Linked DNA regions of Saccharomyces cerevisiae S288C. The protein of the gene in region 2 interacts with the protein of the main gene of each other region in a biochemical or structural test. Each region holds a gene or a part of one and is shown on either strand. Other genes may lie near its edges. The genes, in order: SAW1 and SIZ1.

Region 1 (3,229 bases), on a different chromosome or scaffold from region 2:
GAAATACAATATCAGCGACTCTAGGCCGCACGTTCAGCAATTTCAAAATGCCATCAGGAAGGTGAGGCAAGTGCAAAGAATGAAAAAACAAAGAGGATTTGCCTTTTCACAGGCTGAAGAGGGTGGGCAAGAAAAAATTGTCAGAATGTATGATACTACTCAAAAGAGAGGTAAGTACGGTGAATTACAAGATGCTTCGGCGAACCCCTTTAATGACAATAATGGACTGGGAAGTAACGACTTTGAAAGTGCAGAACCGTTCATTGAAAATCCATTTGCTGATGGTAATCAAAATTCAAATAGATTCAGTTCTTCGAGAGATGATATTTCATTTGATATATGAGGCACAGAAACAAAGAGCAGAAGACAAAAAATACAAAAATAAAAATAAGATAAAAAGAAAAGTCATTATTACCATTACTGAAATATGTACATTTACCATAAAATATATCCGTTATATAGAAGTTATAATATTAAGCCATCACTTTGTTATCGGTTTTTCATTCCTCCTGGGGTTGCTTCGACTGGGTACGTACCTTATGTCTTCTAGGCCTATGCAACACATGTACATCAATAATTTCACCTAAATTAATAACAGGCTTGTACATAAATTCTATTACAGGTTTTATATCCTCTTCCACCGGTGTATCCAGGGCATCAGCGTCCCCATTTTCTATTAACAAATTAGGTACCTGGGGCTGTTTTTCTATTTTCCTAGCTAATAACGTTTTGGGTCCTGCATTTAATGAGAAACCGTTTAATGTTAATGTTTGAAACATCAAATAGTGCCTTAAATTGGCGATCTTCTTAATGCTGTTGATGAATATGTCGAGCTCCCACTTATGTTTGTAGTGCAACTTGTATTTGAATTTAGCCAGCCTTGTCACAGACTGGATGTGAGAAGTTACCGCATTATCCGTATCGGCACCTGCAAAAAGTTTGGGCAGAACGTTGATTTGGAAATCAGTAGAATGACCAACTCTTATTTTGCTGAGTACGGAACTGATGATTTCCGGGGACGCTAGTTCGTAAACAATCAATAACAGGTCCTCCTTGATCTCGTCACAAAGATTCTTCTTATCTTGTTGCGATAAATATATTCTTGTATTTGGTGATTTTAAGCAGATTATGGAGTTATTTGATAATAATGGTGCTTCAAATATAGTGGCATTCGACTTATTGCTAGTCTTATCATTGGTTTGAAGGATCTGCTTTCTATTGACAAATATACGTAATGGCAAAACCATGTCCCTGGCTATCTTTACCGTTGCTATACTTGGTGCCATTTTTCACGGTTACTGTGAAGTCCAATATACTCAATCTTCTTGTATTCTTCCCTTTCAGGCCTGTCCTTTTCTATTTCATTGCCCTTTTTTCCACTCATCTTTCCACTTGATTAAAAATACCAGAAGAAGCACATTTTTACATTTATACGTTACATATGAAAAAATCACAGGATCATTTTTTGATATACAAATACTATTTTTTATTTATGCGATACTAGATGCTTGAAGGTATAGCATATGACGATGATGATAATTAAAAAGACAATATCAAGGGCCTCGTTGCGGTATTTAGATGCGAATGTTACATTTTTTTTGGATATCATTAAGGAATTCTCCAAAGACAATAAACTTTCCATTTTCCTCATTACTTCCTTCCTAGAGGCCAACCTGTCTTTGCAAGAAGCCATTCTTTTCTCTAAATCTTGTAATTTTGCCACGTTTGTATTTATTGTATCACTCAAACGTGCCTCAAATGATTCGGGGTTTTCCTTGTCAAAATCCTGTTTCAAATTCATTAAATAATCCTCTTCAACAAGCTCTTTCCATCCAATGGTCCTGGATCTTAAGTCCCTTAGCTCTTTAACGATCTTGTCAAAATTTGCAATGTTTTTAACAAGGTCATTTTCATCTTTCAGAACCTCATCTTTCAAACTGTGCTTTAGTAAAGCTTCTGTCTGCTGTAACTGCAATCCGATATGACGCTGATAGTAGTCTAATTCATCTGAATTTAGCGAAAGATTCGAACTACTATATGTGATATTTCCAGGAGGTTCAAGAGGATCAACAGCCACTGACTGTGAGAATGACGTCGATGATGAAGACGATGAAGAAGAAGACAACGAAGATGAGGACGACTGCGAAAACGATGCATTGCAGGCGTCTTTTGGCGAAAGCCCAATGGGATTAGCAACGGCAGGAGAGGATTCGGAAGCTACAGAGGGCGGTCTTGAGGGCGAAACATGTTTCTTTGGTGAGCTTTCAAGATCATGGTAAAGCAAGCTCTGTAACGATATATCTGTCTGCGTGCTAGAACTCCCGTCTGATGAATGCGAATGATGTGTGGGTCGCTTGGAAGGCTTAGATATAACATTGGGCAATATTGGATCGAAAGCCGGCGCCAGTGCAGACGAATCCTTAGATTGCCCAGACGAAGAAGGCTCCATGGATTTCAAAAACCGGTGAACCAACCTTTTCTTGTCCTTCACGAAGGACCGGGAAGGTGATTTAAGACCGTACTTGTCGTTGTCTTTGTAATGGCGATGGGCTGGGTGCTGCTGGGCTTGCAACATCTTAAATGAGGGAAAATGGTCTTTGGCAGAGTATCCACCATCGAGAGGCTTTGATTCTACACTATGCTGCGGGAATGGTCCTTTAAAGGTGGCGACTACGTTAAATGGGTGTTTTGGCGAGAGTCCAGAAGACTTCATCGTACTGAGACTTCGTACTTTATCTGGTGCTGCGTTGAACATACAATCGCTGAACATTGCGGTCGAGGCAGACGTGTAATCCGGAATAACTTGACGATGCAGTTTATGACGAGCATGATGGTGCTCCATTTCATATTTCTGCTCTTTTTCGTGTAATGCAGCCAAATTACTGTGAGAGGCTTGCCATCCAACGTTTGGCTTAGTTTCAACAGTAGATTTGTGGCCAACATCTGGTGTTCCAGCGTCAATCATTTGCTTTACATCTTCCAGGGGTCTCTTTTCTACACCATCTTTGCTATTGCGATCTGTACCATCTATTCCGCTGCCTTTAGAAGAGCTCTTTATTTGAGCATTTTGCATTGTACCTGGACAACTACTGGACTACGTAAAAAACTGCCATCAATTTGTGTTATTCTTACTCTTTGAGACAATGTTTCATAACAATAGAACAATAGCTTTTTGACCTTCCCCTTATTTTATTTCAAAAGGTAACAGTTAGGGCTATTCTTAAACTTT
Region 2 (5,363 bases):
TTTAACCTCTTTATTATTGCCCTGTCCTTATTCCATTTTTTGGAGTATTATATTACAGCTAAATACAATCCTCTTAAGGTACATTCAGAGTCCTTTCTTCTGAACAACGGCAAAAGTTACATGGCGGCACATTCCTTTGCTATTCTGGAATGCCTCGTAGAAAGCTTTCTTTTTCCTGATCTGAAAATTTTTAGCTACTCTCTAGCTACCAAGCTTTGTACAGTACTTGGATGTCTTCTAGTTATTCTGGGACAATATACCAGAACTATTGCTATGCATACTGCGGGACATTCCTTTTCTCATATTGTGAAGACCAAGAAGGAGTCCGATCATGTTTTAGTGAAAACTGGCGTTTACTCCTGGTCAAGACATCCAAGTTATCTTGGGTTCTTTTGGTGGGCAATTGGCACTCAGCTACTGCTTCTAAATCCCCTATCATTGGTTATTTTCATTTTTGTACTTTGGAAATTTTTCAGTGATAGAATTCGTGTGGAAGAAAAATATTTGATAGAGTTCTTTAGCGCGGAATACATAGAATACAAGAATAAGGTTGGTGTCGGAATACCTTTTATATAATAGTAATGATTGTGTTAGTTATGGACTGGATTTTTGTGTTATGTAAGATTTTATCTAATCTTGTGCATCTGTATTTGGTAGGTAATAAATGCTAGGGGAATGCAAACAGTGATATTGCCTTTGAGTATTGAAAAGAAGAAAATATTTCTTTTTCGAACGGAAAATTATAGAAAATGAAGGTCATATGCACAATTACAAAGAAAATATTTCATGAAAGAGCTGGACGGAACCGTCCAATTTTAGCCTCGTTTTTAACCACTGTTGTATTTCTTTCCATAATCTTGCGTTTTCCATGTACCCATTATGGGTGAAGTTGAGGATGTATTAGAAAGTTGTCTTTTTTGGGGCAGTACATTAGAGTAAGGCCTCCTTGGAATGAATGGATTTACAATGAGTCTGGACTTCTGCAACGGTATGGTTGCAGTGTTGGGAGGATTGGGGACACTGTTTTCATTGTTTATCAAAGGAAGCCCAGACTTGTTAGAGTTTGTACGAATTGGGACGTTCTGGGGCAACGTGGGAAGTACAGGCGTAGAATTTTGTCGCCCGACGTCATTCCTCGTGATTGCTTCTGTTGTTGGTAGAGAGTTATTCCTTTGATCAAGCCCATTATTCGACAAAATAGTTGCCCCACGCAATGTTGAATCAGGGAATCTTGTGGTATTCAAACGTGGATCATTAAATCTTGAGTTCACGGTGGAAGGAAAGGACATATCCATATTCTGTTCACGTGGTGGAAAAACTGAAGATTCTTGAGGCTGGACAAATGAATCTGATATCGATGCAGTATAACTGTTGGAATTTATGGGAGGCCTTATTGTTTTATCGGGAACAGTGGATCCCCTGGGATCTAATGAACTCATTCTTATTAAGGGAGGGGTACTGAGAGCGCTCGAACTTGCATTTGAAGCGGTGTTTCTTGGCGTTGGGGATGATACGCTAACATCTGGAGAGATTAAGTGGGATGAATTATCAACAGCAGTCACATTTAAAGGCGTTTTTCCCAGAATGTTCGGCAATTGTTTACCAATATAACTGGAACTGTTTCCGAGGTACTCAGGAATAACCCTGTTTGTCACCGGAGTAGTAGTTTCTGAAGCAACTATGTTATAACTTTTTGGATCCAGGGTTCTCGAGGGTGCACTTGAACCTTTTTCAGTTAGAATATCTGTATTAGTACTTTTAAGGTGATTGCTAGTTATTTCCGCCATAAGTCGATCATCATCATCGTCATCATTATCGTTCATTAAATTTTTAGTATGATTATGACTGGGAGTATTACTGCGACTACCATGATCATGTTTATTATTACTATTACTATCATTATTTTCGATACTATTATTATTATCATTATTATTATTATTGTTATTATTATTATTATTATTATTTTTATTATGACTATCATTATTTTTGATACTATTATTATTGTTATCATTACTATGCCTGTTGCTATCATCATGATTATTAGTAACATGAGGATTATTTCCATTTGGTTCGTCATCATCACTATCGAGATTTATGATAATCGGTTCACTTGGATGTGAAGAAGAACAATGATGATCCGATACTGAAGTACCTTTTTCTGGGCTTCTACTACCATCATTGCTGTCACTGTCGCTGTCATCATCGTCTTCCAATATGGCTGTCCACTTACCATCAGAAGTAAGTTCTACCTGTTCAACGTTTTTTTGACAGTTCTGTAAAATGTCATCAACAAATTCGGAAATTGCTAAATTTTCCAAAGCTATATCAATTTGACATACTGGGCATTGCCACGTAGGAATTTGTAGTTGGGAGTGTAGGAACCATAATGCATCAAAACATTGCAGATGCTTACAATTTATTGATTTTGAAGGGTATTTCATTCTTGTGTACGAAATTGGACATTGCAGACTCATGATAGTAGATGTGGTAGTCAAGCCCATTTCTTCATCCTCCCGAAGTGTTTTTTTCAAGTAAAGTAACGTGGCTTGTTTAATAATTTTTGGATGCTGTAATACTTTTTCCAGGAGTTGCTCCGGAGTGATCATTTCTACAATGTACCCAAATAGCTTGTATTCCTTCGTGGTGAAGGCATATATCAGCTCCACATTGTTTTGTTGAGTATAAGGTTTGAGATGAGGCGTTAAATCCGCCGGCTTAGCTGTGCCCGGCTTACTCTTGAAACCTCTTATATTATCTTTGATTTGAACATTATTGCACCTTAATTCATTTGGGAATGGAAATTGGATGGGTTCATTACCTCGGGATCCTAATGGATTAATCATCCCAGAAAATAAGTATAGCCTGTGTTTGCTATTCGGGTTACTTAATAGATTATAGTCTGCTTTGGACAATTTAAATTTCGCAGAGCACATACCTCTTCCGCCTGTGACTTCCACGTTCATCACTAATTCAGGGATTAGCCTTTGTATTTTGTAAAATGGAGACTCTTTAAAATGAATTGTCGGTACAGCAAAAGATGATGAAGAAGAAGAGGCATCTGGATTTGTAGGTGGTGGTGCACGAGATGTGGAAGATGTGGTAGACGTTTTCCGCCGTTGAGTGGGAGACTGCCTAATAACGGAAGGTGATTGCTGCTGCACCGTGGGAGGCCCCTCCATAGAACGTACTGTGATAGCACTCAATGGGGTACCCTTTCTTAAAGCGTTCCAAAGATCTTTATAAACAGGCAAAGGTTCATTCTTTCTGATCCGTTCTATCAGAAATTTAACGGCTTGAACTCTATAAGGATCAGACTTGCCTACTACTAAAGCGTTCTGCAAGAAATTCCTGATAAGGTCCTGTAGAACGGCCTTGCGACCGGAAACCGGGAAAGATACAGACCTGCAAATATCCTTCAATTCGGACACTTTCAGCAGTTCCATCAGAGTGATGGTTTCCTCCACCTCGTTTCTTAGTTCATTAGTCGGTTCCCTATCAGGCCCAGGCGTTTCATCTTCCCAGTAATCCTCTAAATTTATCATTGAAACAGAATGTATATGGAACACTCAACTGTTTGAGTTGGAGTCTTCTTTTCTTGTGAAATATGGATGAACTCCACTTCATTCTTTCATATTCATATTAAAGATGATACACTTTTCAACTTACTATCTGGTGCGGTGAATGGGTGTATACATTGACTACAGCTCAGGTGACATCTAGGGGCCGTTTAGTGTAAGAATATAAAGTACAATCCAAAAAGGAAAATTATACTTGTTTAAGAAAAGAGGAACCTTCTGCTCGCTCTAAAATGGTAGTTCTAGTGATAGTTTAAAAATGCATTTTCCTTCCGACTTCGAAGATAGATTTCAGCATAAAGACTAAAAGCGTCAGCAAGGATTCGAATGAGTGACTCGTTGCTAGTGACTCTGACCTGTTTTTTATTCCAGCAAGAGGAAAGTTATATAGAGTAGTTTATGAAGAGAAGACACTTCTAAAGTTGAATAACGCTCCTAGCCTCAAGGTTGATGATTTAACTTGCAGCAAGCGCAGGTGAGAGCCAACACACATCAATAATCTTTCCAAAAGCTATGGCCAGAATTGTCGTATTAATTTCGGGCTCAGGTTCCAACTTGCAAGCCTTGATCGATGCCCAAAAGCAGGGCCAATTAGGCGAGGATGCTCATATTGTCTCTGTCATATCTTCCAGCAAGAAGGCATACGGGTTAACTAGGGCAGCGGACAATAATATCCCCACAAAGGTTTGTTCGCTATACCCATATACAAAGGGTATTGCGAAGGAGGACAAAGCCGCAAGGGCCAAGGCAAGATCCCAGTTTGAGAACGACCTCGCAAAACTAGTGCTCGAGGAAAAGCCTGACGTTATCATCTGCGCGGGCTGGTTATTGATCCTTGGATCTACTTTCTTGAGCCAACTGCAATCTGTGCCGATATTAAATCTGCATCCAGCGCTACCAGGTTGTTTCGATGGTACCACACACGCAATTGAAATGGCATGGCGCAAATGTCAGGACGAGAACAAGCCTCTGACGGCCGGATGCATGGTGCACTATGTCATCGAGGAGGTCGACAAGGGTGAGCCATTGGTGGTAAAAAAGCTAGAAATCATACCTGGCGAAGAAACACTAGAGCAGTACGAGCAAAGGGTACACGATGCTGAGCACATCGCGATTGTAGAAGCTACATATAAGGTTTTACAGCAGCTTCACAAATAAGAATAGTTCCCATATTTATACTTTTATATTTGGCATTCTTCAAAGTGAGGCGCGAAACATCTCGCGTCGTAAATCATGATCATGGATTGTGACAAAACGATCTTAAAGGTTTCGAATAAAATGTGTGTAAATACGTATACTTATATATGAATGTGCATGTGTAAACGCTTAATCGTGTTATTGCAAAACTAAAATCAGGCCAGATTGTAGTTTAAACGGTTCTAGTATAACTGGTTTAAGGTGCGGCTCACAACCTGTTACAGGGAGACAAAAACCATGAATATTCTTAAGCATTTCCCAAGCTATGTTGGCCCATCTAAGATTAGGACCTTAGTGATACCAATTGGCCATTGGACGCGAAAAGAGTTTAATAATGCGGTACAGAAACTTTCTGAATTCAACGAAATTCATCTGTCTGATGTAACCCCCATTGACAGCCCTATCTTCACACCGCAAGGCTTTCCACATGGGAAGTTATTTTTCGACTTCTTGACCATAGATCATGACGATGCATTGGAGTTGTTTCTGTATGATTTTGAGCCATTTCGGAAAACATTTGTCATTATTGGGCTGGTAAACGATTACAGTGACCCCTTGACCAATTTGAATTTCATGAAGGAGAAGTATCCA

The links.
Region 1: of the proteins of SIZ1 (region 2) and SAW1, one has a biochemical effect on the other in vitro, tested with the Saccharomyces cerevisiae proteins (one study listed by BioGRID).

Annotation. Positions count from the first base shown.
Region 1 is NC_001133.9:92,744-95,972, reverse strand, and holds SAW1 (DNA-binding protein SAW1), read right to left. Parts: upstream 1,287-3,229; coding exon 501-1,286; downstream 1-500. Other genes in the region: aminophospholipid-translocating P4-type ATPase DRS2, read left to right, coding at 1-343; FRT2 (Frt2p), read right to left, coding at 1,487-3,073. UniProt on the Saccharomyces cerevisiae protein: Catalyzes 3'-non-homologous tail removal of RAD1/RAD10-dependent single-strand annealing recombination intermediates. Plays a key role in targeting RAD1/RAD10 complex to 3'-flap cleavage substrate in recombination.
Region 2 is NC_001136.10:1,287,585-1,292,947, reverse strand, and holds SIZ1 (SUMO ligase SIZ1), read right to left. Parts: upstream 3,543-5,363; coding exon 828-3,542; downstream 1-827. Other genes in the region: STE14 (protein-S-isoprenylcysteine carboxyl O-methyltransferase), read left to right, coding at 1-576; ADE8 (phosphoribosylglycinamide formyltransferase), read left to right, coding at 4,089-4,733; TRAPPII-specific subunit TRS120, read left to right, coding at 5,010-5,363. UniProt on the Saccharomyces cerevisiae protein: Acts as an E3 ligase mediating SUMO/Smt3 attachment to septins and PCNA. May be involved in chromosome maintenance.